Linked DNA regions of Drosophila melanogaster. The protein of the gene in region 2 interacts with the protein of the main gene of each other region in a pairwise test. Each region holds a gene or a part of one and is shown on either strand. Other genes may lie near its edges. The genes, in order: ND-13A, Pect, Mlc-c and yin.

The links.
Region 1: the proteins of Pect (region 2) and ND-13A interact in a two-hybrid assay, tested with the Drosophila melanogaster proteins (one large-scale study listed by BioGRID).
Region 3: the proteins of Pect (region 2) and Mlc-c interact in a two-hybrid assay, tested with the Drosophila melanogaster proteins (one large-scale study listed by BioGRID).
Region 4: the proteins of Pect (region 2) and yin interact in a two-hybrid assay, tested with the Drosophila melanogaster proteins (one large-scale study listed by BioGRID).

Annotation. Positions count from the first base shown.
Region 1 is NT_033779.5:5,097,580-5,104,075, reverse strand, and holds ND-13A (NADH dehydrogenase (ubiquinone) 13 kDa A subunit), read left to right. Parts: upstream 1-3,873; 5' UTR 3,874-3,934; coding exon 3,935-4,066; intron 4,067-4,162; coding exon 4,163-4,339; intron 4,340-4,402; coding exon 4,403-4,474; 3' UTR 4,475-4,899; downstream 4,900-6,496. Other genes in the region: CG4230 (uncharacterized protein), read right to left, coding at 5,692-5,982, 6,042-6,366, 6,425-6,496.
Region 2 is NT_033779.5:13,199,938-13,210,892, forward strand, and holds Pect (phosphoethanolamine cytidylyltransferase), read left to right. Parts: upstream 1-3,824; 5' UTR 3,825-4,252; coding exon 4,253-4,335; intron 4,336-8,172; coding exon 8,173-8,423; intron 8,424-8,483; coding exon 8,484-8,550; intron 8,551-8,727; coding exon 8,728-8,840; intron 8,841-9,498; coding exon 9,499-9,662; intron 9,663-9,722; coding exon 9,723-9,908; intron 9,909-9,973; coding exon 9,974-10,291; 3' UTR 10,292-10,891; downstream 10,892-10,955. Other genes in the region: CG16972 (uncharacterized protein), read right to left, coding at 1-717, 774-2,471, 2,607-3,063; CG15482 (uncharacterized protein), read right to left, coding at 10,915-10,955.
Region 3 is NC_004354.4:5,616,706-5,623,436, forward strand, and holds Mlc-c (myosin light chain cytoplasmic), read right to left. Parts: upstream 3,871-6,731; 5' UTR 3,823-3,870; coding exon 3,774-3,822; intron 3,582-3,773; coding exon 3,169-3,581; 3' UTR 2,431-3,168; downstream 1-2,430. Other genes in the region: RhoGAP5A (Rho GTPase activating protein at 5A), read right to left, coding at 186-351, 416-521, 604-1,081, 1,153-1,775, 1,861-1,972; POP1 ribonuclease P/MRP subunit, read left to right, coding at 6,019-6,731.
Region 4 is NC_004354.4:3,867,295-3,875,377, reverse strand, and holds the start of yin (yin), read left to right. Parts: upstream 1-3,438; 5' UTR 3,439-3,507; intron 3,508-4,833; exon of another isoform or gene 4,834-5,060; intron 5,061-5,151; exon of another isoform or gene 5,152-5,425; intron 5,426-5,559; exon of another isoform or gene 5,560-5,563; 5' UTR 5,564-5,613; coding exon 5,614-5,719; exon of another isoform or gene 5,720-5,775; coding exon 5,776-5,861; exon of another isoform or gene 5,862-5,879; intron 5,880-6,198; exon of another isoform or gene 6,199-6,405; intron 6,406-7,046; exon of another isoform or gene 7,047-7,358; coding exon of another isoform or gene 7,359-7,439; intron 7,440-8,083. UniProt on the Drosophila melanogaster protein: Important role in absorption of dietary peptides. High-affinity transporter of alanylalanine. Dipeptide transport activity is proton dependent.

The DNA.
Region 1 (6,496 bases), 8.1 Mb from region 2:
GTCAGGAGTGCGATGCGGATACGGCGGATTCCGATGATTCGAAAGATTCGGAGGATGCGGGTGATGCGGAGGAGAAGGGAGTGGAACTGTGGCCACTGCTGTCTGGGTCAAGTTCGAATGACATTTACATTCGCTTTTCCCGCGCGGCACAATAAAGAATAGCGCTCTGATTCAACAAAGTTCAATGCTTTGCCAAGAGAAAATCAAATATTTTACACATTATTCGTGTGCTGAAGGGGTTGTCACATTAGCACACTAAAATGCTAGAATGCCGCTGACTCAGCTGCACTGAGAGAAATAATGCCGAACAAATGTGTAAAATGATTGAAAAAAATTACTTCAAAAAATATGTTTTTGTTTCTAAGGAAATCCTTTCAAATAATATATGAAGCTTTTAAGTATAAGTAGAAAATATATTAATCTAAAATTGTTCCTAAGTTAATTTCTTATATAGAGTATCATATCATATCGCAACTCACCTTGCAACTGCAATATCGTCATCTGATATTCGGCAAGCTTCTCGTCGATGTAGTCCTGCGATTGATTCGCTATAATCTCGGCTGTCGAAGGACCGAACTCCTCTTCGTCATCGTAAATCACATAGGATTTAGGTTGCGGAGGTTCCAGCGGCACGCCCACGAAATCGATCTGATCCTGGGCCAGTCCGTGCCCGCCATGTCCTCCTTGTCCTCCGTGTTGTCTCGGTTGCGGCGGGATCACTGGCGCTCCCTGCTGCTGATAGAATTGCGGTGGTTGCTGTTGGTACTGGTGGTGCGACAGTGGCGTCTGTCGATTGCTGTAGTTGAAGTCCGAACTTGGAGTTTGGCAAACGATGGGCGATGGCGTCGGCGACAGCTGGAAGGAGCTAGTCGGCTGGGCGCCATACGAGTTCTGGTGCTGCAGGGGAGCCGGCCGATAGGGACGCGGTGCCGGCGATGCGCCACCACTGGACGCCATTCCGCCGTAGTATGCACCACCAGCACCTGGTGCTGGCTGCTGGTATGGCGCCGGTGATTGGTTACCACCTGGCCACTGGGGACGCGGATGGGGTATATTGGTGCTGCCGCGCTGACCCCTCACCTGGTTGATGGGCGCCGGCGACATGGCGTGTCCGTAGGGACGGGGTCCCGAGATTATCGGCGGCGGACTGGGCGCCGTTGTCCACGGCGATGGTGGACGGTACAGAAAGGACGAGGGCGATGGCGAGGCGGGATTGTGGGCACGCGGATTCCAGCCACGTGGTCCATTCCCGTACGGCGGCGGTTGCTGCCCGGACATTTTCGCAGCAAAACGGGTCAGACGATCGAGATCTTTCGGTTTGGGCTTATTTCGATTTTACAAGCGGTGTGGCTATGGTTTCACAAAGACTTTTGGACGGGACTATGGGATTTAATTTAACATATTACACTGGCAAAGGAAGAATTTAACACATATTACTATAGAATTTAATATTAAAATAAATTTATTAAATTATGGGAAATTTGTCTTTTGCACATTAAGTTTGTTTAAAGCTTTAAATGTCCTACACTTGCAGAGTTTGGTTTTCTTAGAGAAGCATTTTGTAATAAAGAACTGCAAACCACGTAACAGTTAACAAAGAATCTGCTGACCTATTTTTTACTACCCAACGTAGCTGTCCAAAATCATAAATCATCATTTGTTCATTAGCCAAAACAATCACCTGAACATCCAACCCAATTATGTCACTGAAATAAGCTAAAGAAACACAAATAAATCATGACCTATTCACGAAAACGGGTAGTCAGCTAATTTCGCCAGACTACGCAGATATAGGATATAGATACATAGATATAGATATGAATCCTAACGGAAGTGGTCCAAACATTTATACAATCTTTAAAAATGGAACTGACGTGAGTATATGCGGCTTTCAAGTCGCCAAGGAGTGTTTTTTACGCGCGCAATCATTTATTTTATTTAGTTGTCACATATATTAGTGAAAACATATATAGTTCAAAACTCAGCAATACATATTTACATTATGCTAAAGATCGAAAGTGAGCAAGGAGAGCAGAAAAGTGGGCATTTTTGGGGGATTAGCTGCTGTCAAAATTGTTTGAAGGCCTCATAAGTCTATGATATATGCCTGGCAGAGTGTGTGAAAACCTTGGAAAAATGTCTCAAAACATTGATTTCGCATTGGAAAGTGAAATTAGCTAAGTTTGAAATACATTCTGTACAGAGCGGAAAATTGAAATAATTGTCTGACAAGTCAATTGTGTCAAATTAGTAGATTTAACTTCTGTTCTATTCTGCAATCATATGAAATATTGGAAATAATAGATAAAAATTTGCAACTAAAATGCAATTCAATGCTCATCTGCTGTCATCACTACTGTCAATTTTTTCCCGAAAATTTTCCAACATTTTTGCACATTTTGTTTGTCATCTGCTTTCAATATTTCAGTGCCTTTATGGATTCTCCAAAACGAAAACCAAAAACTGCACAGTGTAGGCGTTTTGGGTGGTGTGTGGTGTGGATCAGTCGTCCACCATCGGCAACACTTAAAAAGCACACGTCCCCCAATTCAAGAATCCCGATCGCACCACCGCGATGAGGGAAAACTCATGCAGACTTTTCACTTTGCGTTTGCGGCGGCGGTTGTCGGTTGCTTTCGAATTATTCAAAAATAGAAATGAACTCAGTTCGTTAAACTTTCGGCTCGCTCGGATCGAAGGAAACCATGGCGAGAGCAAAAAAGATGCAGCCTCGCATGCTTCACTTTATTCTGGGACCACTTTTAATTGCCATCCGCTTGGTGGGATGTATCCCACTTTTATATCCATTCTATGGCGATTATGGTTCACTATTATTCCGGAGTACACATTCCATATTCTTTGCGTTCCATTTCTCTCGCACCGGAAAACGTGGAAAAACACGTTTTTTTTCTCCAACGAGCACTTCACTGCCGATTATGTAATCCGTGGAAATTTGTGTATTTTTCGAAGCTTTTTCAATGGGATGTACTAATGTACACAGGCACAGCAATTAATTTGTAACATTACACACCGTAAATTCGCTTTGATTTTACGCCAGTATTCTTAGCGCGAACAATTCCAATTTCAATTTCTATATATGCGTATATATAGAGGCGTGTATATATGCATGGATGGCCGGAAAGAAGACTTTTCAATGAAAAACTTTAGATGTTGTAGAGGAAGAACCGAGAACAACACTCGACGAGCACGAAACACTAACTGAATTGCCTCCCCAAGCGCCAGGAGGCACATCCCCGATCTTTGGGGAAATTTCGAAAATTTTCGAAATGCTGGCTGCTTCGGGAAATGCGAACGAACATTTGGCTCTCGGCATTTCTTGCCGGCTTTTCTTTTTGTGAATCGTGCCGCAAGGGAAAACATTTCTCTTTCTTCGTCTTTTGTTTACATCCCTTTTTTCTAAACAACAACGATCAAGTAGCGCAAAAACTTTGGCATTCTAAAGAGAATAGGTAAAAAAAAGAAATTTATGCCTCCTAAAAAACTTAATCTAAAAAAGTAAGTGCACTATTTGTCTGTACGCTAGCTTTTTTTGAAATCAAGTTAATTGTTAAAATGGAGCCACTACTTTGACAGAATACTTGTACAATTTATAACATCTTCTGAATTACAAAAAACCGGTTAAGAGAGTAACAAAACTCAAACAACCTATATTAAATATTATTTCACTGAATTAATAAATAGTATTCCCTAAAATTTTATTAATTTATTCTTAATTTATTATAGACCAATTGTTTTGAAGAAACTGTCAAATAAGTAAGCTATTTTTAAATAACCAGTGTGACCGCTGATCGGTAAATGTAAACTAACATCTGCGCCGTTAGCTTGCTGTTAGGCCAGCTGACGCTGTCAGCCTGACAGTTACAGGGTGTTTCGTGTCAGAATACATTTTGCGTACAAATTTTTGTGGTAAAAAATGGCCAGCAAGCAATTGGTAAACAATTTGTCCAAACTCGGCCTTCCGCGACAGAATTGGATGTCCCCACTGGCCAGCGTTCGCCACTCCAGCTGCCGCGGCGACATCGAGAAGGTTACACACACCGGACAAGTAAGAGAAATTGGAACTGTTGACCCGATCATCCTGCGATTACGCAAACATTTTGTGGAATATGTACGAAAATATCTAAATTAATACATATTTCAGGTGTTCGATAAGGAGGACTACCGCAATGCCCGGTTCGTGAACGCCAAGCGGTATGTGAACGAGAACTGGGGCATCAAGCTCATCGAGGAGGTGCCACCCAAGGAGTGCACCGAACGAGTTGTCTTCTGCGACGGCGGCGATGGTCCTTTGGGTCATCCCAAAGTGTACATCAACCTGGTGAGGTCTTGAGCGGCTATTAGAGGCATACACTTGACTAATTGGATCATGTTTTGTTTGCAGGACAAACCCGGAAATCACATCTGCGGCTACTGCGGCCTGCGCTTCGTCAAGAAAGATGACCATCATCATTGAGGAAACCATAGTGGCCAATAGATTTTAGCTAAAACACCTTTCTATCCTGTTGCGCTAGCTTGAACTAAACTAAACTAAATAAAATTAGAACACCAAAAAGCTAATCATATGAAGGAGTACCATAATTATTACTCTATCCCAATGGATAAATCAGCTAAAAGCAATCTTTTCCCGAAATGAAAGTCAACTCTTTTTTTATTGCACAACACTTTATTTGCATGTGTCTTGAATGATTACTAATGCGTGCATGCATTGTGTCCTCTTAGAAAGTTAAATCTGATCAAAATCAACTTAAGCTTTAAAGTTTAGTAAAACTAATAAACAAAAACCGAATTGTAATTCAAAATACTGTGAGTTGAACTCGGGACTGCTTGGGCAGAAGCCAGATCAATTCACCGCGCGGGTGTTTTGTGTTTTAAGTGTATAAAATGTTGAGTAAAACTAACAAAGTTAACGCAATCGTAAATAGTAAATAGTATATAAACTTGCTTTGTTTGTTGCCTGGTAAAGCGGTAATGTATTGTATAGTGGTTTCAATTTATCATTTTTCGCTGTTAAATCACTACGGGCACTTTAGATGCTGACGATCGCAGCATTGAGACACAGATAGTACCACGAAAAAACAATACAATAATACAATAACTGCCGCCGCTTAGGCGATTGTTTGTTGGTTGCTTTTTGCTTTGGATGCCAGCCAGCGCTCTGCGGGAAGAATTGGAGCGGACGACTCGAAAGTCTACCCACCATTCCTGCTCCTGTGTGGCCTGCTCCTGCTGCTCACAAAACCGAAATGAATCATACGTTCACACCGCTCAACACGAGCCATCTCCGATACCAATTCCATCTCCAACCGTCGGGAGTTCGAGCTTGGCCTGCAGAGTGCCCTGGATCTGGGAACTGAAAGTGCGGCGCCGCCGGGTGGTGCGCCAGTCTCACATAATATATATGCCCAGCGGATCAATGATCGCTGTTCAATAAAATCATGGTCAATAATCATCGTCGTCATCATCTGTTGTCTCAAGTGCGTTTCATCTAAAACACCAAACACTAAGGAGAATGTAAACTAAAATGTAGTAGGTTCTAATTTGGATGTTGTGTGGATGCGGGACTATGTTGCCGACGAATCGCTTTAGCCTATCTTCGTACTGTTGCTGTTGTTTCTGTTGCTGCAGCAGAGATCGCTTATCTTGATTGGGGCAATAGTTGTTCACCACTGGTCACCAGAGGTTCCGTGGCATGGCGTAGCCTTCTTTTGTCACGAATATGTTGCGTTCGCCACGAGCTACGGCCAAATCCTCCTCCTTCTGCTGCAGCTGCTTTCCACCCATACCAACTGTTGGAGCTCCGTCATCGTGGGTGACAATGGTCTCTTTACGCCCGTCTTTCATCCGGGTTACGGTGGTGGTCTTGTGACCAGACGAATCCTGAGTAACCTTGGTGGTCTCATAGCTGCCATCCGGCTTGCGAACAGTCTTGGTCATCACGCTCTGGCTGAATAGCTTGGGACCCTATCAGAAAAGTTTATATAATGACTGTTTATTATAGGGGGGAATGAGATCTTTCCCACCTGATAGTTGCCGTCGAATACGCCTCCGAATGGAGACATTCCACTACGCGGCAACATCGGAGTCATGGGCGTCATGATGTCCGGCTTGTTGTTCCTAGGCGGACGCGGCGGACGAGCATACGACTGGCTCTCCCCATCGGCGGAGATGGTACCATGAATCCGGCCCATGATGATCTCCTCATCCGTAAGCTTGGCGCGCTGAACGCCCTTGCGATAGCCATGCTGATTCGATGGCAAAATGTTGCCAATCACCTGGTCGCCTGACTCAACATTCTCCCCCGGATTCAGACGCTGGATGAGCGAGTGCAGCTGGTCGGCATAGATCCTAAAAGAAATGAATGCTTTAGTGTGAACACGTTTGCTGATTTAGTATGTTTACTTACTCGCCATCCAAATCGGTATCCAAAGAGAAATCCTTCTGCTGCTCAAACTTCTTCAGAATCTTGCTCTCAAAG
Region 2 (10,955 bases):
CACGCGCCTGGCGCAAGCGTTGCTGCATGCTCTCCAGCAGCTTGGATTGGGCAGGTGCGGCAGCCTCGAAGATCTTAGTAAAAGCCGCCTCAACGGACTGAACCCGACCCTTCTCAGACTCATTGTCTATCTGATGTTTCTGATAGCCGTCGCCATCAATGATGGATCTATGACGTTGCGGCTCCTGTCCTTTGAGCGATGGACGCCTCTCTACATCCTTTAAGGACTTGGAACTGGCTATAAAGTCGGTGGTTTTGGGTGACCTCTTCGTAGAGCATTCTTCCTCTTCCGCAAAATAAGAGTTGTACAAGTGATTCAGTTTTCGCTTATGCTCTGCAGGCATTTGAGAGTTGAAATGGACATCCGCATCCCCCGCCATCCTTGAAACGGATTCTGATGTCTGAGGCGGGGAGGGTTCTTCTTTATCGGTGCTAAGCTCACTACTTGTGGTCAACGGTATCTTCTTGTCCTTATCCTGCTGCCTATCTCGCTCCCTTTCGCGCCGCTTGCCACGCACATCACTACGCATCCTGTCCAGTTGCTGTTGTGGTCTCACCCGCAGCGATCGGCGAGGGATAGTGCTGTTGGCTAGTTCCCTCATTGCGGTAGCCACGGCATTTGCTGTTGACAGTTCGGTGAGACCCAGATAGTTGCAGAATTCCTGTTGCTCATTCGGATACTTAACGTAAGGCCCCTGATTCCCTTCCATTTGCATCTCTGTAATTTAAATTAACCAATTAAATTTGCAATAAAATACAAATAAAAAGTCTTACGTTGGGGAGCCTGTGGCAGTTCCTCGTAGTGATACATCTGTGGTTGTTGGTTCATCTTTTGCTCCATAAACTGCTGTTGCTGTTGCATTGTTTGCACCTGCTGACGCATAACATCTAATACAGCTTTGGTTAGTTGTTGGTCTTCTGATGGCCCACGGTCGCTTAAGTTCGCCTGCATAAAATCAGTAAGTCCTGCCGGAGCAGTTGGACAAGGTTGAGCATGGGATAAGGATGCGTCTAAATTCGCAGCGGATGAACCCGCCGTTTGAGTAAGCGCGCTTCTCTCCAAGTCTGCTGTAGATGTTTCCTTGGTAAGGTTCCGCTGCTCGAAATTCGGTGAATCCGTGTTCTTTATGTCATCAACAACTGGCAGCACTATCTCTTCTTCCTCCGGCTGTTGATTATCCTGTAGCTCCTCTTCGGGTATCAATGTGGTGACAGAGGCTTTTTCCATGCCGACCACCTCGTAGCAATCGTCGTCATCATCATCTAGCACAATTGTCTCCTCGGTGGGCAGAATGTGCAAATAGCGACGATACACCGGCCGTTCCGCCGACTGAGAGCTGGCAAGCTCTTGAGTGGATTCGTCTGAGGTTTGCATGATTTCACGGCTGATCTTCTCCATATTCCGGACCAGTGCTTCACGGAATTCGGCAAAGTTAAGCTGTTTGAGTGATGCGGTAACAGCCTCATATTGCTTGAAGGCAGCTTCAAAGCCTTCCACATCCTCGACATCGGCCCACTCTTCCCTGGGTGCCGTTTCCCAGTTGGAGACTTTCTCGGCGGGACTCATCTGCGGCTGAGCCTGACAAATGCTTGCCAGTCTTCGATCCATAGCCTCTCCATGGAGCGTATTCTTCATCAGCGGCGGATACTTTCGCTTCAGTGGAGCCACTTTGGATGGAGAGCGGCCGCCCGTTAACTCATCCTCATAGTCGTAGTGGTCACTGGCGTTGGGCATGGAGGATGAGCTGACGGGAAATTCCGTGGGACTGCTGTGTTCGCGAAGCAACTTTCTTTGCGGATTATTTGGCAGCGGCTCCTGTCCCTCGAATGCTACAATGTCGATAGGCTGGGCTGGTTCTTCCTGGATGACTGCGTCCTCGCATTCTTCATCGTCGTGGTCCTCCAGTTCGTGATCATACACCTGACAAATATCTGGGCGTTCCTCCTCCATCGGTGTATCGTCTAAGAATGTGGCGTTTTCGTTTTCCTCCGGAGCCTCGTCGTCGACCAGATCCTGGTGCACTAAAGGCTGTTCTAGCGCTGCATCACTAAGGTACACATTGTTTCCAGCCGCCAATCGTGCCTCGGCCACACCCATATCCTCCACGACCTCCTCGATGTAGGCAGTCCCATTGAGACACTCATTCGCATCACTCTCCTCGGACAGCAAGCCCAGCAATGCACCGGTACCGTTTCCGGCCATCATGATGGCCCTGGCGAACTCCTGCTCGCATGCCACTCCCTGGGTAGCTACTATGATCTCACAGCAGTGTTCTTCTCCTAAAACGACCATGTTCTCTCCATCCACAGCCTCATAGATCACACACTGCTCCCCTTCTTCGGCCACCTGAAGTTCATGTTCAGCCTCATCATTCTCGTGGGACAGCATTTCGAACTGGTCAACATTGCCATTTGTCAGCAGCATGCCGGGGCTTAGTGCAATGCCCGGATCCTGGACAGATTCGGGTGAGTCTAAAAAACAAGAAAAGTATGCGATTGAGTGAGTTTACCATATTAGATATTTCATATTTTCAATTGGGATAAATGTTCATAATCAATTAAATGGAAGAGATTTCCTTGTATAGTTAATGGAACAGATTAACAAACCGTTGATCTCGATGACCTCGTGGCTGCTGTACGAACGTTTTGCCGGTGTGCAGGTGGCCCATACTGGGGCTTGGTGTGTCTCTTCGGTCATCATCATTTGCCGGCGAAGTCCGAATATTAAGGGTTCATTCTGAGGGACGAAACTGGAAGACGGCTGCTCCTCCGGCCAGCCCTTGAAGCCGCTGCCACTCGAGATAAAGCTGTGGGTGTCCGAGTCGTCGGAGATCACGTGCAGGTTGCTGTCCACGGCGGGGTCCAGATCTGCTCCCGTCCTCGAGGATCTGGTGACAGATGCAACAAGATCCGTGGGATACTCCCGATCCTCAGCCACGTCCGATGCGTCGCCTGGAGCTTCGCTGGCCGTATCTATCTCGTCGCCTTCCAGCGGCGAGTACCGGTTCAGTAGGTGTTCCTCCGCCGCTACGTAGGCCATCAGGCTGGCTTCTCTTCTGGACATCGCGTTGGTACGGGGAATGGGATTGGGATTATCTAGCCCTCGTCGACTCGTTTAGTAATTGTGGTAGGATTTCTTGTAAATTTAGCACGTGAAATTTAAAAAATATACTTGATGCTGTCTACAAAACAATGCCCGAACTGACTGTGGACGATCATGATTACATTATCATGGCTTGGTCGGTTTCCTTCGATTGTTATTTTTCGTATATCTGCGTGCTGTGCGTTGTATATTTCTTATTTGATAGGCTTAATATTTTAAGTTGCTTTATCCTGTGTGACCGTGGGAAACACCGTAGTATTATCTCACATCGCCATGGCCAATATGCCTCTTAAAATACCATCGGTATTATTTTTACAGTGGGATCAATCAATAAAATATACCTTTAAAATGAAAAAAAAAATTTTAATTGTGAATGTTATTAGTAGTGTTCGTTGTTTAATTCTATGACACTTTTTTTTTAATAATTGTTGTGACAATATTTACATTTATTTATAAACAAAACACTTTGTTATATCCTAAAATATTATACATTTCATTGGGGTGATCGACTCATAAGGATTTAATAGAGTTAATACCCTTTTAACGTATAATAATACAGATTTGTACTTGCTTAATATAAAAGTTCTAGCTTAGTAACATAAAATTTGCCAATTTAAAGTTATTCCCAATATATCTCGATCAGCTGTTGATGTTTACAAAATCCGCGTTAGCTGGTATTCATCGCACCAGGCATATGGTATATTTGGACAAACACCGATGCGGCCACTCTGCTCTCACGGTACTCGAAATTGTGAGAAAAGAAATGAAAGAATCTAAAAAAAAACCCAAGCTAAACACACCGCACTTACGCCCCAAAGAAGTTCCCATGCGCCCGCGCGCTGATAACGCAAGTCTGAGAATCTGAGACCAATTCCGCTCCGAGTCTGAACGTGAATCCGAGTCCGAAACCGATAACGAAAACTGAACTGAGTAGCTCGGTCGTGAAATGGGAATTGATATATAGCGGGCGTCGTCGTAGCTCAGAACAAATAACTTACAGCTCTCGAAGCGTGAACGTCGCTGTCGTCGAGTTTCCGCCTTCAAAACGAGCACTGAAAACAGAAACATACTCTCCGGAATCTAATGTTCGCCCGTTAGCCGGATTCTAAATTAAAATTAAATTAAATTGTGAAAATTCAATAAGTCAACGATGGAGGCAAATGGCGATACCAGCGCCTGCAATGGGTATTCGGACAAGCAGCGGAAGGATGTGCGCGTCTGGTGCGATGGATGGTGAGTCATCTACATTACATTTAGGGGCCTCCAGGAATTCGGTCCACAATGTCTAACGGTTCTTAGGGCAGCCCATTGCGTCACGTCGTTACTCACCGCTAACGGTAAAGTGAGTCAAAGCATAACCATTCCGCGTCGGTGCCATCGATTCCATGCCACACCACGGCCAACCGAACCCTACTATTTCAATTCCAATTTGGTTTCCAATACCAATAACCGTAATCAGTCGACGATAAACTAAACCCCATTTTTAGGCGTGCTAAGAAGCGTCCAGGGTTCCTCAATTGATTAGCAAATCTTTGTGAAACGGTGCCGTCTCGCTGCCCGTTCCAAATATCCACCCATTGCCGTCGTCCGGCTGAAATGTCTACATAATTCAGGTTCAAGGTCTCTCGGATCCGAAATGTCCATATTCTCCACGCTTGACCGGGACATTTGGCATTATATTTATATTTATACGCTATGCAATCTATTTATAATTGTACGCTTACAGTGGCTATTCTAAAACAGATTACTCAGAGAAAATGTTTAATTTGCCTTTTCCGGCGATACTCGCACTCTTTATGGCGCTTAAGCTAACAACAATACATATATCCCAAATTAGTTTGCACAATAATTAATTGCTATATGTGATAAACCGGGTGTTCGGTTCATCTAATGCATCTATGTATTTTAGATCCGCATATAGATACTATTGACGCACTTTGCCTTGTTTTGGGCACCATCAAATGGTTCTATAGGCATTGCGTTCCCCCATATATATATATATATATAATTATTTGATTCCGTGCAATGCATCATCAGAAACCGGTTTATCTTTATCGGTAATGACGCGTTAGACTGCGATATGGACGGATGGATAGATGGCCTACCATAACAAGTTTGCTTCATTGGGGGACGATAGAAATTTCCTCAATTGTGGCTACCGCCAGTCGGTAAAAATAAAAATATACCCATTGTTTATATGCGCCCTCGCTCTTTCTCTTATTTCCTTGTATTTCTACTCACCGTATAAACAATGGCACACGCCCAACAAGCAAATGTACATACATATATGTGCCATATACATGTGCTCTGGCTAACCCACTGTATCTGAACAGCCTGCCTTTCCTTCCGCTCTTCTGTTTTTGAGGCTTCAGATTTTCGGATGAGGGCTGCGTTTACGTGGCCCTTGTTGACTGTGGCTGCCCGCCGGTCGTCCGTCCGCAAACATCACGTGATTCTGGCATGCGCATGCCCTCCGCCTCGGCGATGGACCCCACACCCCTTTTGCACCACCATCATTGCCATTGCCTCGCCATTGACCCACAATGCTGTCGTCATCGTCTGGCGGTCTTTTGTGTGCCCAATTTAATTGGCATTTCGCTGGGCCTCTCCTGTACTGACTAAATAATCGCAAGGGATCGTCTTTATTTTAAAAGGGTTTTTTAAACCATATCCATTTATTATTAAGAGGTGGTTCAATCTTATAGTATACTTCTGCCTAAGCAAAAACATACATATGGCAAAACTTTTAGAATCCAATTGCGAATGCCCTGAAGCAAGATTAGAAAATGTCACCTAATTTATGGATTTAAACCTAAAACATATACATCATGCTCATTGGCATTTCCGGGTAATTTTGGCAGTCTATGCTCCCTTATGTCCATTGTCAACGGGTCACAGCTCCCTGTCACCAGTGTGGAAGTCCTCTAGCTGCGACAGATAAGAACGACCTACGTAGTCGTGCTCCAATCGCTGAAATTCCACATCAGCTGCTCATGGGCACGAACAACAAGTATAAACATAATATTTGCGTGGAATCTGATGGAATCTGATAACCCATCAGATGGGGAAAGCACGTATGTATGTGGGGCACTTGGACCCAAAAATCATTCTAATCAGCAGAGATTGATCATTGACGCAGGCACAAGTGCTTGGCTTGTCTCCTCCTTTCCACCCAAGTCAATGAACCTCTGCCAGTGGAAATAACAAATGAATGGGAAGCTCTCGTAATAAGAGAGTCCGGGGCCTTAAGGCGGGGCATATATGTACATGTGTGCTGTAGTATAAGATCTATGTATATGGCATACTTTACCCCACCAAGTCAATCCACTTTACTAGGCTCTGGGGTCCGGACGACAGAGCACAAATTCTACGGAGAATCGCGTGATATTTTTTAATCAGCAAACGGGCGTCGGCGTTGCTGTCGCTGGTGTTGTCGCTGCTTTTAGCTCACTCAATTGATTAAGCGGCCCCTGGGTCTGTTCTACATATAGAGTACAACAATGCTAATATGGGTATAGTATGTTCGGCACAGATTTCTTGGTGCGCTGCAAAAAAATCTCCGGGAGCAAAGGTTTCGCTTCGATTAATGAATGGCCCACGTTTTTACTAGCTGCTTTTTATGGTGGTGGTCATCTCTCCGCATTTGTTACTATCTGGGCAAGTCAAGGGACTAGCTGGCATAATCCATCTTTTATTTTTAGGCGTGCATGCAGGGGCATTGCATTTCATTTAAATTTCATTTCAGTTAAAGATCCAGTTTGTTTTGAGTACAACTATTTTCTTGGGAATTCTCTAATCTTCAATGGAAGCAGTACTTAAAATACTTTCCGTCTATCTATTTCAAATGAACTCCTCACAATCGATTACCGAAGAAACCGTCGATGGTGACGGTATTATTTCTTATCACCCGCCATTTAGTTAAGTGGTTACCTTTTGCATGTTATGTTAAAAAATGTTTGCACAAAGCCCGCTGGGTGAATCATTTTCCAAAAGAGCAGGTTTCAATATGAATTATTTTATAAATACTTACAATTACAATGTACCTATGGTGGAAAAAATAAATACCTTCATAATTGGTGTTAAGTGCAATTTGTGCAACGCCTCACGTCCCCCGGATGCTATTATCGCTTTCCCAAGCCAAACAAAAACCAGGCCAGGGCACGTGTGCCTATAACCATAATGCCTAGAATCGGCGGAGAATGTAAACAAGCTGAATGGCGATGTTTGCGTATATGTGGCCACTGAAAAGCTGACGCAGCAGCGTTCATAATTGCAATTAGAATTGCAAAACAACGAGCAGCAAATGCGGTTTTATTGATATCCCCTGTCCCGGTTGCTTCATCCATCTCTCTCTCGGCATTTTTGGCATACCCACTCTGATGATCGAGTCCAAAGATCAATCTCTTGACCAATGCTGGGCAAAAGTGGAGCACACAAACCGCCTCTATAGTCACCGGTGGTCAGTCCGTCAGCTACTGGTCATTAAAAGCACTCGACCAGACATCTTTGACGCGCTTCGACAGCGGTTTATGTAAACTATGTAAATGGCTTGCTCGAACCACTTTATTACTTTATCGTCTGGGGGTCATTAGCAGTACTGCTTCGACCTAGCTTCCACCATTAACTAAATGACCAGGATTCCAGCTGAGCGTCAAGACAAGTGGTTTTTTTTTGTTGGGCCTAAGGTTCATTATACGTATGTATGTATGCACATTCCATGCGATAATTGTTTTTTTTTTTTTTTTTTTTTTTTGGCAAGTCTCGAAGTTAAACACGGCTTATCTTGCGAGCTTGAAAAATTGCTAATTTTATGAAATATATGCCATTTTCTGAGTCATATTGGTAGAGGCAAGATCGTTTCCATTAGCTATTTGTCAAGGTCTCGCGGCAATCGTTGCAGTCTTAGTTATCTTAGAATTTATTAAACTTCCACGAATGGCAGACAACATTTCCGGAGGTAACTAATAAGGTCATGTTTGCTTGTTCACTGGCACGCGCTTGATAAAAAAAAAAAAAAACAATGTATCTATTCTTGTACTGACATATCTATCCTCCTTCCATCCTCAACAGCTATGATATGGTACACTTCGGACATGCCAATTCTCTGCGACAAGCCAAGGCTCTTGGCGATAAGGTAATTGTGGGCATTCACACCGACGAGGAGATCACCAAGCACAAGGGACCACCGGTCTTCACCGAGGAGGAGCGCGTCAAGATGGTCAAGGGCATCAAATGGGTGGATGAGGTGGTGCTCGGTGCTCCGTATGTGACCACACTGGATGTGCTCGACCAGAACAACTGTGATTTCTGTGTGCATGGAGGTGGGTAACAAATTTATGCATATATCTGGATGTTACTCAATCGAGTGTATTTGTTTGCAGATGACATTACAATGACAGCCGAAGGAGTGGACACATATCATTTGGTCAAATCAGCCAATCGCTACAAGTGAGTTTGAAAAGATATATTTTTAAGACATGTGGCAGTTTATTAAAAAGGGAATGCACACACACTTACCTTATGTACATCTTGCCTTAACCTTTAATAAGCTGCCAGTTGTCTTGTAAAGCACGTACTGCACATTTTTCCAATTACTGACCTTAAATTTTCTTATGCAATCCGCAGGGAAGTGAAACGCACAGCTGGAGTCTCGACCACTGACCTTGTGGGCCGCATGTTGCTCCTGACACGCAACCACTTCCGTCAAGGATCCGCGGAATATGATATCGAGAAAGAAGGTAGCTTTAGCTTGTTCCAACGCTTTTCTGGCACATTTTATTTTCATTTTAATGTTCCTAAATCACAGCGAGCACTGTGAATTTGTGCGCCAAATTCATTGTTTCTAACCATTACTAACTTTAATTTTAAGACTACTTTTTGTTTGCACTCTTTTTGTCTTTCATTTCCTGCTGTCGAACTTGTTTATTGCTCTTGCATGCTGTGCATAAATCAAAGTCGATCAATCAGTTACAAGTATGAACAATATTATACAGATATATTCAGTTTATACATGGGCTACGCACGATTAGTTTATGCATTTTCCCCAATAGATTCTTTTTAATTTGCCATAGTTGAACGCAAATAACGCCTTGGTTTATGGTTGCCCTCTACAACTTTACTATTTCTCTTCTTTTTATTTCTATGTACGCACTGTTAACCACTATCAAAAATATAATATAATGTATGAAACCTATGAAAACTATGCTAAATGTTTTGTGCGTGTGCGCGCCCGCGAAATGAATCCAAATGCCGAATGCCCAATGACCAACCTGCAATCAAAATATCCAAATCCGAATCCAAATCGAAATCAAATCCTAAACGTAAATTTTTGCTCTTAAATACACACTTTTGCTCATTTGTCTGCGTTGCTTTACAATACAAAACAAACAAAAAAAGTGTCAATTTTAAAACGACAAATAAAATCCCATCCAGGTTCTTCGAACATGGGTCAAGATTCGGCAGCCAAAAGTCCGTGGACCGGTTGTAGTCAGTTCTTGCCGACTACCCAAAAGATCATACAGTTCAGTGATGGAAAGTCACCGAATCCCGGCGATAAGATTGTAAGTTTAGCCCTCATTATATGTATATAATGTATAATTCATAATTGTCGGTATTTGCAGGTTTATGTGGCTGGCGCCTTCGATCTCTTCCATGTGGGTCACCTGGACTTTCTGGAAAAGGCTAAGAAACTGGGTGACTATCTGATTGTTGGCCTGCACACAGATCCCGTGGTGAACTCCTACAAGGGCAGCAACTATCCCATTATGAATCTGCACGAGCGCGTGCTCAGTGTTTTGGCCTGCAAGGTAGGATTGCAATAGATTCTTTTTTTTAAATATTATCTCATTTTAAAACTTCTTTTTTCCCCCAGTTTGTCAATGAGGTAGTAATCGGAGCTCCCTACTGTGTCACTGAAGAGCTGCTTGAGCACTTCAAAATCGATGTTGTCTGTCATGGACGCACACCCATTGCGCTTGAGAATGGCAAGATCGATCCATATGCCGTTCCCAAGACGCGAGCCATCTTTGAGCTGATCGATTCCGGCAACGAGATGACCACGGAGCGCATCGTGGAGCGCATCATCTCGCACCGACTGGAATATGAGCGTCGCAATCAGGCCAAAGAAAAGAAGGAAATCGAAGCCTTTGAGGCACTTCAACGCCAAAAACAGACCCAAAAGGCCGGCTAGCCGGAACCAGATTCCGACCTCTCACACTAGACGGATGTTTTTTATTTTCTAGTTGCGTTCTTTTAGTTTGTTTTATTTAGTTTGTCTTGTTTAGTATGTCGTCCCCTGATGATGGCGCTTTAATTTTTTGTTGCGTAAAAAGCGAAGCGACGCTGCCTGAGGATTCAGCGCACCGCTCTCTCGATTTCTAGTACAATTTTAGAATATCTGCACATGCGCCTTAATGATATAAGGTTATACACATAATTATATATTTCTAACACATTAACGTAGAATATTTAAAATCTAAATTTTATGTATGTAAGCTCAAAATTTGTAAATTCCCTTTAAAGTACGATGTAAGTGTGAGGAACAACAAAATTGTACGAATAGCATGTTATCCAAACTGTTGCCGAATTGAAAAGCCTTGTACGACTTGTATGTATATATATTCAGCAACGGAAGTAGGATGCCTGGATCAGGAAGTAGCTGCTTTTATCAAATGTAATCTCTGATACTTTGTCCTAATTTATTAATGCATATAGTAAGTGCGAGTTCAAGTTTTATGTTTCCTTGTTTAATCTTAGACTTAAATACATGGCCAAAAATATTGCGAATTCCAAAAAAAAAAAAAACCGGAAGTTTTATATACTTGCCTCGCTAATCACTTTCAGTTCGACGGTTA
Region 3 (6,731 bases), on a different chromosome or scaffold from region 2:
AAATGTTTGTATAAAAATCATCGATTTTGATCTTAGGCTAAAGTTTTTTTTTTTGGTGGAAGTTAAGGATTCGCTTCGAAAGAGACAGGTGGGCACAGACGCGATTCGCTTGGCCGTGCTCCTCTAATTGATGATAAAGTTAGTTATTGGCTTGGTATGGGCAGCATGGTATGATGACCTCGTCCTCAGGATGTGGCGAATATAGTCTTGCAGTGGGTGATGAGCGAGGAGAGCATAAAGATCTCCTCCGTCAGGTTGGTCATGTGCTGGGGCGTGGCAATCAGGGTCGGCGCAAATACGGTGGCCAGATTGTGCTCGTTCATCTTGTTAACGGCGTAGTGGGAGGCCACCCTGCGGGCAGAAGGTTTTTTTTTTTACTTAAGATCGCATTGACCATGCTGGCAGTCACACTCACCGCTTCAGGTGCTCCAGCATGTACTGCAGACAGCTGTGGTGGGCGGGCGGCAGGCGACGCACTGCCTCCGCCATGAGCTGGCGCTGCTCGGCCTGCTTGCCGGTGCCTGCAACAGATCAAAATAGATAGAGAGATAGATAGATGTGAATGGCATGGGATGAGGTGCAGCATAGCACCATAAAACTCACGTCCTGCTGCCATAAAGCTGGGATACGCCTGGAATGTGATGAGCGGCACGGGCAGTAGGCGCAGGTAGAGCTTCAGTGTGCCGGCGATCACATTCACATTGCCATACGCCGTCTCCGACATGTCCGTCTTCTCGCCCTCGCGATCCAGGGCGAGTTTGAGTGCCTCGATCTCATCGGCAAAGCCGGAGACCCGATAGATACCCTCCTGCAGCATGCCCCGGGCCTCCACCTCCTCCACGCAGCGGCGCACCACGAAGGGTATCTGGTGGTGGGGCTCCAGCTGCACCATCGTGGTCAGATCCGTGCCAAATACGCCGCGTATGCGCTTCAGATCCGGCACACACTTGGGCGGCACCAGTTCGGAGCACTTGCTGTGCGCCACAAAGCCGCACGCCTCACACTTGACGCCCTGGGCGGTGAATCCCCACAAGAAGTTGGCGCAGAACTCGCACCAATTGAGCCCCTTAAACGTGTGCACCTGTTTGGATCAGAATCTTCCATTAGATGCTATGATCCTTTATAGTTGGCTTCTTATGTCTGAACACACACCTTGAAGTGATGCGGCTTCTCGTAGACCAGCGGCATGGGATCCACGGCTGGAGGCGGTGGCTCCTCCTGCTTCTGCTCCTTCTCCTCGGCTGGCGATTCCTTCGATTCCTTGGCGGCGGCCTTGCCCAGCTCATTGGACAGAGCCCTAAGTTTCCGGCCATTTAAGGTCATGTATGGGCTTTGCTGGTAGCAGTTCTTGGTCTGCTGGTTAATCTGCTGGATGATGGGACTGGCGTGGAGCTGCATGTGAAAGTTGATCAGCCCGTCGGCGACCATGTCGTGCACCGTGTCGAAGCGCTTGTCCTGGCCGCGCAGATAGTGTCCCACGCCGGGCTTATAGAGGAGCTTGTAGTGCTTGGGTCGCTTGTTGAAGCGCAGGCTAAGCGTGTAGTAGCCATCGGATTGGGGGCTCCGGCGTACAAAGTAGCTGCCGTCGCGGGCATTGGCCAGCAGCTGCTCCGCCTCCAGGTGGCCCATCAGGCCATGGTACTCGGAGCCGTATAGCCTGCCCGCCAAGTTATTGGCCTCCACGGCCTCAGCCGTGCTTTTCGCCGGCGGAAGGGGCAGTGTTCGCTGGCAGCGCAGTGGACATGGAGCCGGTGCCTCCAGCTGCAGTTTGTACACTGTGCGTGGGCGGGTAAATGGGTAAGGGGATGGTTAGTCATATCATAAGCTTGTGGGTGGCATACGAGGTGCTTCTCCACTCACATTCCGGCTTCCAAACCTTCTGAACCGGAGAACTGGGCTCGGGGGCACCGCCTACTCCGCCGGATCCACCGGTATTCGCATTTCCGGCGCCCGCCTCCGTGTTCCGGGGCATCCTCCCTCGGATTAGCAGGCCACTTGGTCAAAAGCCACTAAGTAGGCGGCGAATAATTAAGGAATGCAGCCAATTAAGTAAAGTATACAAATAATTTTGTCCGAGCGAGCAGAGCTGCCAGACTGGCGAAAATTAGCGCGGTATTAAAGTCGGAAGAATACTAAATTTAAATGACTATAACTTTAGATAAACTTTATAGTAAGCTTATTGAATTTATTGATAGCTAAACTACATTATATTGTTTTGTAAATACTGTAGTATGCAGTGGTTCTCACTTAATAATCAGTTTAAAAATGTCCGAAAGCTCAGAGCACAAGAGCTCGCAAAAAATACCACAAACAATTTGCTTAATTTCAGTTAAGTTTCCTAAATATTTCAAAAATTTGCATCAGTCGTAATTTTAAGCAGCCATTTATTTGATTGCCATCCGCTTTCAACAAGAAATAAAAACAAGAGCTAAGGTTTCAATTGGTTTAATAGTTTAAGTACGTTTCTTTTGTAAAAAGACCTACACATTCATTGGATCTCATTTCATTATTTATTAAATACAAATATTAAATTATTTAAAAAAAAATAAACATGTAAAACTTCAAAATGCGCATTTAAATACGGACACACGCCACCGACGCATATCAGCTTTAATTTAGAAATACTTTTTCGTGATACTCTGGCTTTCCTTCCTTCCATTGAAGTATACTATGGTAATTCATATATATATATATATAAATGTATCGAGTGTGATTGGTACAAAAGAACGACTGCACTAGTTGATAATTACTGATTAACCTTCTAGTGTCAATTTTAGAATAATACGCACATTCACAGACGCGGTAATTAGTTATGGTTAATCATGAATCTATGTCTACATCGTTGGTTAATTTTGGAAGTGGGAATAGCTCCAATCTCGTAGTTTTAGTTTTTAGTTTTCAGTTATTAGCTGCTTGTGTTAAGCACTTTCCCCTGTATTTGTTATATCTCGATATCCTTGGTCGTTGTCCTTGGTTTTGAATGCTTTAATGCCGGGGTAAGAATGGCTAAGTTGGAATCACGGAGTTGGAACTTCTGGCGGAATGAACGGCTCATCTATGTGTAGCTTGGCAGGTGTGTTTAGTGTTGGTGTGTTGTATTGTGTTGGATATAGCGTTGCTTCTATTGTCGTGTCGCTGGACAGTTGAACAGCTAGAATCGGTCTGATCCTAACCGCTCATGACCATGCGCACGAACTCCTCGTAGTTGATGTTGCCCTGCTGGTCCTCCATGTTGGCCAGCAGCTGCTCGACCTCCTCGTCGGTGAGCTTCTCGCCCAGCGTGGTCAGCAGGTGGCGCAGCTCGGCGGAGGAGATATAACCGCTGGCGTCCTTGTCGAAGTGACGCAGTCCTTCGATGAAATCATCAGCCGTATCGCCCGAGCGGGCCTTGGAGATCGCCTGATAGATGGGCAGGAACACCTCGAACGAGATGCGCTCGTCGGGCTTCAGCTGGTGGGTGCACTTCTTGACATCCGACTCGGTGGGGTTCTGGCCCAGGGCCCTCAGACACTCGCCCACCTGGCTCAGCTGAATTTTGCCATCTCCGCGGTTGTCGAACAGGTTGAAGGCCTCCTGGAATTCTGCGAATGGAAAGTGCGTGCTGATTGTTGGCAGATGCTTTACAAATCTTAATTATTATCGTTACAACTTACAAGAACCCTTCGATAAGGGATATAATATATAATACCTACATAACTACTACATATAAACGTATGGAAATGTGAGGGGGAACTATAGCTTTCTACCACCCACTAAATGGCTAAATGGATCACCTTCCAGTGTGGTAAAGGTTTGCTTCACATGCGCCGTATAGTAATACATATTGAACCACTCCGATGACCGTTTTGCCAGCTACTGACTGCCTGAAACTCCGCCTGCCCGGATTTGGCTGGCCATCGGATCGAAGCGGATCGGATCGGCTCCGATGCAAGCCACCACTCCGCCTTCCTTGGCCATGGTATACCCTCACGTCGCTGGCAAACTTCGTTTCTCTACCGGGAACTGCCTGCTTGCAAGTAAGATAAACAACCCAGAAATCCTAAGTTTCAAAGTTTTTCGTTTCGAGGCGTGACATCGCAAGTCCATTTCGCGTGCAGTTGGATTTAAGCAAGTGATGGTGTAAGTTAACCAAGCTGCAAAAGTTCTGCGATCTACGTGCGTAAATAGAACATTGTGGTTGGGCTCAATATTTTGTTTTCAGATCCTCTAAAGATCTGAGCACTAGAGTGTTCACCATTCGATGAATTGCTGGGATGTGTTCGGTTATCATGCGAATACGAGATCCAAAAATGGCAATAAAAACAAACGAATCCAGCACATTTTTGTCCATTTTAGGCAATGACAAAACGTCGACGGCTGGCTAAAGATTGCAACAAGGTAAGTTGGAATTGGAAAATAAATATATGGTATATGGCTCGTACATAGGCATATGCGGTTGAACGCTGACGTCAGAGTGTCACGAATCCAGCATGACGGAATTATCAGAGACCATTGACTTTGATTAGGTTAAACGAGGGGATTGCGTAAAGATTCGATTCGATTTGATTCGCCATGGAATCGAAATCGTGTTGCATTTTTACTTAGAGAGAAGGTGATGTTCCGTAAATGGAAGCTGGTTTTTTTTTTTTTTGTCAACTGACTGGCTTCTTATCGCATGGCTATTCGGTTTTTGCAACTGCAATTGCAGTTTTATTTGAAACGAGCAGCCGGCGAGTCAGAAAACCGGGTGATTATCCCATTAGACCGCTCTGTTATCTATATTTTATCGCTCACTTCCTTTCGCTTAAACAGTGTTTTTTTTTTTTTTTTGTACTCATACCGAGGTGTTGGTTATGATTATAAGCGACCAGTTTCTGTCTTACAATAACTGCTCTTATGATGACCTACAAACTTGGTTTACACTAGCTTAAGACTAGCACTAGCTTGTTGGCAGAAACTAACTAGCTGATGGTCGAATAAGTTTGTTGCCTGCTATGCATATTATCAATTAACTTGGTGTGGGTTTCGGATAACCGAAAGAACTCGGATTTATCAAGAGATATTAATGCGAAACTTGGTACACAGCCGTGTGTCGCTATTCTATGAAGCTATTCCTTGGACGAACATAATCTGCTGATCAAAGCCCAAAAGTAGCACAGTTTCGATATGTGTTGTCAGCTTGATCTCGGATGTCTTTCGAAGTCATCACGTCAAACTTTGCCTACAGCTGCTCTTAATTAAAGCATTTTGGACAGGGTATTGCAGTGTTTCGGTTTTGGGACTTTCTCGCCGCTTTTTAGGTGAGTCACGATCGTATTCGTATGGCTGCCGTCTGCCTTCCAGCGTATTTGCTTTATCAATGATTCATGCACACCACACAAATGTACGTGCCATCGCTTTCCCGCATTCCAATGCTGTGTGGGAGTGGGAGGGAGAGGGCGCTAGGTGCCAGCGCACATATCAATACTATACACATATATATATCTGTATATATATATATATGCGATTTGCCCGACTTTTGACTCCTGGTACTTGACCCCGTCTGGTCCTCGTGCGATTCAACTCACCAGCCAACTGATCCTCGGTATAAGCTGCCTGCGGGGAGAGAGAGAGGGGAAAGAAAGGAAAACAATGAAGGAAACTTGAGTGCTGGCTTCCAAAGGCGCCGGAAAGCGCACTTCCAGTGCGATCGTAAACAGTAAACAGCGCCGCAATAAACAGCCTGCACTCACCATATCGATTTGTTTTTAGCTATCTGAGGGAAAACAACACAAAATACACGAAATATTGAATATTGAATTCGACGTCGAAACAAAACGCAAGCAAATTCTGAAACGTTGTTGGTGTTAGTGGTCGCCGATAGTGGGCGCAATCGATAGGCCACTCGAAATTCGATAGGTGCGACAACATCGATGAGTGCAGGGAGTTTAGTGAAATCGAGCAGTGCTGCCAGATCGTTTCACAAGAAACCGCCACACGTGCCGCCGATTTGTTTTGATTTTGGATGCATTGGATCCTGGCCAAATTAGTTAGTCCCCGATGAGCACACAGAAGGTGGAGTACGACGCTGCGTTGGGCGGCCGGGTCACACTGCCGTCGCACGTGACCACGTACCATTATGCGGCCGAGGCGCTGCAGGAGATTCGCAATTTGGTGGCCGACTGCCAGGAGACGACGCAGCGGAGCAGCAAGCTAATCTTCCAGACGCTGCCCAAGCACATGCGCCGCCGCGCCATGTCGCACCATCCCAAGCGACTGCCGCGCAAGTACCGACAGGCGCACAAGTCCCAAATGGGCAAAAGCGGCAACCAGCCGGTGAATGGGAAACGACCATCGAGGAAGTACCGCCGGAGACCCAAGAATCTGATGCGTGAGTACGTGCGCCGGCAGAGGCGGCACGTCTGGCTGGAGACGCACATCTGGCACGCGAAGCGATTCCACATGGTTGACCGCTGGGGCCACCGGTTGCCCTACGCCAGCTGCGACAAGACCTACCGCGCTTGCTATCGCGCCAGCGCCGAGCACTGCCTGCTGCAGGACATCTCGTTCTATGGTTGCGTGGAGTTGCGGGGACCCTTGGACATGCTACGCGAGGGATTCGCCCGGCTAACAAGTCCGCAGTGTGGCCTTGGGATCACGGCCCGGACTTTTCTGAGCGGACGACGTGAGGGCAGCGTGGAGTTATTTGAGGATGGCCGCTATCCGTATGGAGCCCTGCAGCGGGCCAGTTTTATGTGGCGGCCACGGCGGGA
Region 4 (8,083 bases), on a different chromosome or scaffold from region 2:
TAGTCATGGTCATGGCCATGTTCGGACAACTGGATCTGTATCTGTTCGATGGTTGATGATTCAGGAAGCGAACTGCGAACTGCGAAAGTCCCGAATGGCGACCAATGAATGGGCCTTATCTAACTGCGATCCAGAATCGGTTCGCAGCTAATCCATCGATGCTTTATCAGCGTTTATGACCGCTATTTGAGGCAGTAATGTATAGCAGCCATCACATGGCTCCATAAACCGTGGAAACAATGCTATTGCACGCACTACACTTCACATCAAACATCCATTAACATAAAGCGCCTTATCGCAGGGAAACAGAGATATACAAAATATACAAGTACCAGACGTGTACAGCATTGACCCGCTTCGGTGGCCGTTTGAAGTTGGTAGACCAGGCCTGCCACTCACATTCACACTCAAAACCACTCATTCATTCATTCATTTTGCAGCCGCTAATAGCGTAGTGTTTAGTGCCAGGGAACTGGCCAAGTGTCACCGAAGGACGGAAAATTGATCTCCAGACGGATCTCCACTCAATCCACTCGATTGGGCTCCATAAAAGCCGTAGACCAATCGGAGTCGCTGATACTCCGTAATTTTCAACAAGCTAATTGAAAAATGAGTACACTGAGGGCTTTACCTATAAATAATTAGATAAGCCTGGTATGCCCTGAGTGCAGTTGTAAAGTTTCGGAGGGAAAGTGCTGTGAAAGTGTTCTCAATTTCACTTTCTCAAGATTTCTTTACTTAAGCTCTAAGAGCCCTGGGACCTATAGATTGATTGATTGATTGATTGATTGATAGGTGGTTAGGATGTGCGTTGAACTATCGCTAACTGTGATATGCAGAGAAATTCTTCTGGAATTCGAGAACGGATGAACATAATTGGATTGGCTATATATAGTAGTGAGTGATTCTTTAATGACATTGCATATCGGCATTGATATCGCATAATCGTCGGTTTGTTCATCGATTGGCCATCAAATAGGTTGTAAATTTCACACCTACCCAATAACATACATAATCGCCATGAAGAGGGTCTAAAAGCATTCCAACTGATTTACAAGCGATTAGAACGAGCGCGATGTTTATTGGTCCAGCGAAATGATAAGCGCCGCAGGAGCTGGCGCTTTGGCCCAGTTTTAATTACAATTGCTTTTTACGGCGGCAAAGAAACAGAATTATTCAATGGAAGTTGTCAGATAGATAAGTTCGATGTTTTCGGTAGTGAGCAAAACTTTGATTGTCTTGTTCCGTTCGAAGCGGCAATTACGACCCCATATCGGCACCGCCCCATCCAATTCGACCGGGTTCTGCTCCGCATGGAGCAACCAAATACGAAATGGCAAATTCCAGGCGAACTACTCACTCACTAATTGCAAGCGGTTGCATTTACTACAGGCTCTCCCAGCGATTTGTCAGCAAGTGGTGTGTGTGTGTGTGTGTTTGGTATACCAAACGAAATCGTAATCGCAATTTTAGCCGCATTTGTTTTAAACACCCGCATTGGCAGTTTGCCTACGAATATGCAAATGAAGCCGGCGTCTGACATTGAAATGCAGGCGCACACAGTTGTACAAATTGGAAAATTTGCATCGGTGTAGGCAAGTCGAGTTATTTATTTTTTGAGATTTGAATAGGCAAGTATATAGGCAAGGTTGGTCCGTGCCAATTGACCAAGTTTGGCAGCTCTTTTTTGGGGACCGTCGAAAGTAAATCCACATTTGGACCTGCTCGTTGCTTGTGTTGGAGCCGCTCAAGTGGCTAAAACCCGGGGCCAGTCACTCAAAGTCCCTTATCAGAGCGATTAGATTTGCAAACTGCACACGCGGCCAAGAGAACCGATTATCGTAGTTGCGAACCTGGAGTTCTGAAAATCGTTCGTCCGTTGAGTCATAACTGGCAAGTGGAGATGTATTCCGCCAATTCTTATAACTTGCACGTTACCCAACGGCCACTGATTAAAACTGAAGGGTGAGGAGTATCGAAGTAAATAGGTGCAATAAACTAAATAAGAACACTATTGCAATCTATGGTGAGGTGTATTTTGTGTGGCTTATATAGCATGTCTAGAAATCGAAACAATGAGTAAAACTCGAGCCTCACAAAAATATGGGCCATAAATCTCGGTTCAGTAGTCTGTATAATCGCCACCCCTCTGTAAAAACTATAATTATGCATCTGTGGTTATTTTTAGTAATTAACAATACCATTTTTTTTATCCGTCATGTTGGGAACCCGGAGATCGCTTCACATCCGTTACGCGTCACTTGAAATCGAAGAAAAATATTAAATTTACTTTAAAAATCATTACGTTGTAGGAATGTGCATATGTATAAGATGCATAAACTCAACTTTCTTTTAATTTAACGAAAAATATATGCACATATATGTATATTACGTGTAAATTTTGTTTATTTTTTTCCAATAAGAGACAAAAGAGACAATAAAAGCAAAAAAGTACTGATCCTCGTCTGGAGTTCAATAAGCCCACAAATTGGCTATATTTAAGGGAAATTTCCAATTGCCACTGCGAAATAATTAATTAAACCAACAATATCGCAAATATATCTCATTCAGATTATTAATAGTTTTAATTGATTTTCTGTGTTGCAAATTGATTTTCAAACTGTATAAAAAAAGGAAGCTCTTTCTCTGGTAACTTTATCCTATTTTGCTGCATTGGCCTTTAAAAGGATTTTATTGTTTCGTAAGATCTTTTCATAATATAGACATCAGTGTTTTGATATTGCTTTTATTGTCTCTGGCGAAGCTTTCGGATCGTTATTGCTTTTATTGTTCCATTGCATTCGCGCACTCGTAACTCACATTAAAACATTTAACAACTGCAAAAAAAAAAAAATTGGAACGCACGTCGTTTCGGATGGGATCGGTTTTGAATCGGTTATGAATCGAGCAGGATTGAGCGACCACGTCCGCAAGCGGCGATCAACAGCCTCAGACTGAAGTCGACTGTGAACGAACTTAGCTAAGAAGCCGTTGACGGTTTCGCCGCTCGCCGCTTTGTCGCTTTGCCGCACTGCTCTGCCCGCTGCGACTGCGCGCTTGCTCGACGTCGAAGGATGGCGAAAGGCGTTAGAACGAGCGAGTAGTGGTGATAAGCCTAATCGCAATGTTATCGTATCGACAGGCAAGTGGAAGTATTTACGGCCCGGTGTTCGCTTACCCACAATGAATGGAGCCGCAGCTCGCAGCTCTCGCGATTGTTATTTATGGCCCACAACTACCCACCGGAATATCTGCTTGACATTTCACCCTTCCCCGCCCTTGGCCGCCTGTCAATTTACAGATCGCTGTCCATCACAATTGCTCCGCTTATCACACCTGCCACGCCCCGTCTGTCATCAGTCAGTGGGTGGGTGGTTGCTGTGTTGTGTATAGTGGGCGATGCAGATTGCGCACCATCATTAACTAAATATTTTCATCGCACCAAACGGTTATCTCTGGCCATTACTTGCACGTCTGAGGGATGGGAGCTTCCCAACTTTACCCACCGTAAGTCATGAATCGAAAAGTAGTTTAGTATATGGTCTAAAGATAATTATTTAAAGAGCTACTACGTCTATACGCTGATAAAAAAAAATCAACGCCAAAATAGAAGAGATAATGATGGCCAAGGAAATTTGTAGGGTAAGGAGATCGAGTCAGAATCTTCAATGGCTTGAACTGTGTGTTAATCGGGCAATTAATCATTATTAAATAGCCAAATGTCTTGCTGATATTGGTCGAAAAGTAACTAATCAGCCATTTAATTTTTAAGAAAGTACCCAAACAATTTTTAGAGCAACGCGTCCAGTGTTTAATACTAATGACTTGCATATTAACAAGCTACATGACTTTCTTTTTCAACGCTTTTCCGTGGGCAAACAAAGTTCATACGTATGTACATAACTTAAGACCGAAATGATTGGCAGTATTTTGGCAGCAATACAATAAATTAATTTAAGCTCCTTAAAATGATAGTAATAGGAAAATAAACTATTACAAATCTATTAAGTAGTTTTATGGCCGATAAAGTTATCACATCGGTAATAAGTTTTTGCGAAATAAACAGGCATTTCAAAAGACGTACGTACTTCATATCAGATTAGTCATAAGTATAAGTCATTCAAACGGTGGATAGGTTAATAAATACAACAATTATTTTTAATATTAAAAAGAAAACACCCTAAACTGGGCACGAACTACCAAATTATAGCGAAAAGATCACTTTTAAATGTCGAATTTTTGTCAAAAGTTATAATTCAGATTTCCGCCACCTTAAGAACAGTACTTTAAAAACAACATGGGAAATAGTTGGCCTTATTTGAAATACAATATCTCGTTGAACTCGTAATGAAATTTCTAATCCATAGGCATTCAAGGCCGGAAACTTTCGAAATTTGTAGATTTTCGCTGATCTTCATTATGTAACCCCTTATGAAGAAATGAGAAAATTTGAGGATACTTTACTGCGACGCCTTAAATAGGAAATCCATAATGTAACCTATACCATCTAACCCCGTTTGGCTCACCGCTTTTGATAGGCATCTAATCGGAGGTGGTCACAAAACTTTGTGGCATTTTTGTTTTATGAACTTAATCGCTGCGTCGATAGCTGCGAATAGTATTTATGGCCGCCTATCATTAATGCCATGCCCAGAAACAAGTATAATACATCTATTGGCCATAGCCAATCGGCCGATCTGCGATAGTCCGTAGCACGACATTGTTATTGTTATTGTTATTGTTAACCATTATTGCTCAACGAGAGGCCCTGACTGTGCGACAAGTGAACTTTTTGTTTTGCTTCTTGCTTTCGATTTTACGATTGTCACTTACTTGGCTACAGATTGCATGGTGTCTAGTCTTCATAATGCCAGCTATGCGATCGATTGAGTAACACTTAATTAAAGCCATCAAGGCATTGGGGGTCTGTGTGTCGATTGAGCGGGTTGCGTGTTGACACACTCAGACATCGAGTACTCGTATCCCCGGCCAGCTATTATGCATCCCGTATCCATGGATTGTGATGGCGTTGTATCTGGGCGAGAAACTCTTCGCTCAGCCTGGGGATTACAGTTAAGACCTTATCAATTAGCAAACTGGTGGTCAAGCGGCGATAGGGTATCTTCGATTAAATCGCACCTACCAACCTACCTAATAGGTGGGCCAATCGCACAACTCGGCACGCGGCTTACCGAATCGCACTTTGTGCCGATTAAGTAATCGGCCTGAAAAGGCGAAGCGAAAGCGAGATATAGACGATGTCCTTGCCTAAGATAGCCAGATAGTCAGATAGCCAATCGTACTCGTTTCTTAGGGCAGTGCTTCAAGGGGCTCCGATCTTCAGATATGGGTACTTATAGATCTCAAGATCTCGAAGGTCCGGAGTCCGATATCAATGATGATAGGCGATGAAGTGTTTGCCCAACTGATTAGATTTGTACATGAAAGATATAAAGACGTCATGTCAATTTCAAAATTACAATTATATTAAATATTATATTATAATACTATAAAGATCCCCCATAATTATTTATAATCTAAATAAATAATTTGTTATACTTAGGGTAATTGTCCGTTGCCTTAGCTGTCAGATATCCAGGCTACAGCTCAAGCATGCTTCATAGACAGCGGAATCCCGAATTCTCTAGCACAGCCACATCCATATCCAGCTCGAGCTTCGAATCCAGTCACCTGATGAGCAGCTCTGAATTCAGTCGCGGTAAGTGCATCACCAGTTTTCCAAAGACCACCCACATATATATGGACTTTCTGCAGCTTGGCACTTTGCCCGCTTTCGTGATAGGGATGATCGATTCCAGCACATCCACTTCGCCGAAGATGACCGCAACGGTTTCGAAACGGTGAGTCTGAGTGCTGGACTAAAATATAGTGCGAAATTGACAACCTTTCAGGCACATGTATCTATATATTTCCGGAACTGTGCAATCTTGTGGTATAGCGCGGCGTTTTCGTGAAAAACCTAAGCAATCTCGACGCGAAACAATAGCTAATGCGGACCATAAATATTTACAGCTGGATAGATTTATGGCTGCCTGGGAAAGTCCAACAAATTACTCAAAGCCGTAAAGAAAACAAACATAGATAACAGGCACTTGGCACTCGACCATTTTGCACGGCCGGGGGTTTAATCGCCAGATAGGGGATAGGAATATGATCGAGATAAGATCGATTCCGTACCTGCCAGCTCATTGGCACAGCTTAAAGAAAAGCGAGGGGATAACCACAAGATTCAGCGCAGATAACACAAGATAACGTTAAATCGCAAATAGGATATGGGTTTCTAGAACTATATTCTCTCTTTAAGAACGCCAAACGACAAACAGTTGCCACAACAATGGCTACAAGCTGGAATACTGTGGGTGCACGATAGGGATGCACATTCCACAAGCCTTCTGAAACAACAGGAAACACTGCTCGCACAAATTAGAAGGAATACAGCTGCTCCACGCCCGATTAGTGGACTCCCAGCGATAGTGCCCGTCGGTGGGCGGGGTGTCCACTAATTCAGCAAGTCGTCATTCCAACAGCATTGAACTTGACTGCCGCAGCTTTGCGCGAAAGAGAGGGCGGTGGGAACACCCCCACAGTAATAATAAGAGATCGCCGCTGCAGCTGCAATGATCTCTGCAGAGCGAGCTACACGGAAAGAAATATGTGGCTAACTTCTGTTGGCATTATACTTCGCTTTTTATTTAAACTGTTTGATGCTGTCGCTCTGGCTAAATAGGTTCACATATTGAATGTTATGTTTTGTAGATTACACACGCTTTTTTTTTAGTGTAGAGAGAACAGCTTGAAGCGAGAGCAGAGTTTATCTTGCTCTCGCTCTCGTACAGCCTCTCTCCACCACGCCCCCCCCCCCTACCAACCACCCCATCCACCTGTTTATCTAAAAATTTAATTTGATTTTTGTTCTTGCTCGAATTGTGTATTATTTCTTTTTTTTGGTTTTCGGTGTCGCGACTGCGCTGCCGACGTAGCCGCCGACTGAGAGTCAAGCTTAAAAGCGCAGCTTGCAAATGGACGGAGCATCATTTATTGTCGGCCAGCGACGGCGATCGTTTTATGGCGTCAACCTGTTGATCACCTCCCCCACAACCCCCTTTCATCAGTGTCTTTTTTATTGTAGTCCACTTCTGTACAACTTTTTTTGGCAACGCAAATCAGTGCAAAAACCTTTTGTGTCAAAACGTGTGCGTGTGTTTTCCGTTTCTCGATTTTCGGGGCACTTCGACAAAATTCCAAAGTGCCCAGCGCGATTAGGTGACTCTTGTTCGAGCTCATTAAAGCGCAATTAAGAGGTAGCCAAGAGGAGGCCAAGGCGAGCCAATGCCAAAATGGCAAGTGAAATAACTAACGGTAAAAACGGACAAAACGGTAAAAACGGACAAAAAGAGGAGTCCGATTCTCAAATTGCGGTAAGTGGCCCCACATATGTATGTATGAACATCAAGCGAAATGCTGAGTAAAGGGTGCAATGATAAGAGGAGAGAGTGTAAAGAAGTTGGCAAGGATAGCAGATCTCATTCCTTCCATTTTCCCAATTCTTGCATTGCCATGAAAGGGAGTGTTGCAACCATGGATTTTCTTTCGGTGCGAAAAGCGGAGAGCACGATGAACAGCTACTTATCACATTTAGTTGTCAATTGAGAAAGTACAGTGCACACAAAGGCACATATACACACTTGCCCAACTGAACGTGTGCAGTGGTTGTTCGAGAAAAAGAAGCGCACAAAGTTCCAATGACTTTTCTTCTTTCCACTCTCTTCGCCACTTGCTTCGCTTTCTTCTGCGCCCAAGGCTATTGATCACAGCGGCAGCGCAGCTGACCTTGAACGCCCCACGCGATCGATAAATGTGTGTCAACCAAAAGCGAGAGCAAATCGAGATCCTTTTATTGCCCGCAAATTGATTGAATTAATCGTCGTGTGTCAGAATCAAAACAAGAATCGAATAGGCCTTGTTTCCGTGGTAGCGTCGACCAATAAATACCCTTAAATCATTTACTAATCCAACTGAAATATTTGCTAAGCAATTAAAGTCTATCAAGGCTAAACACCAT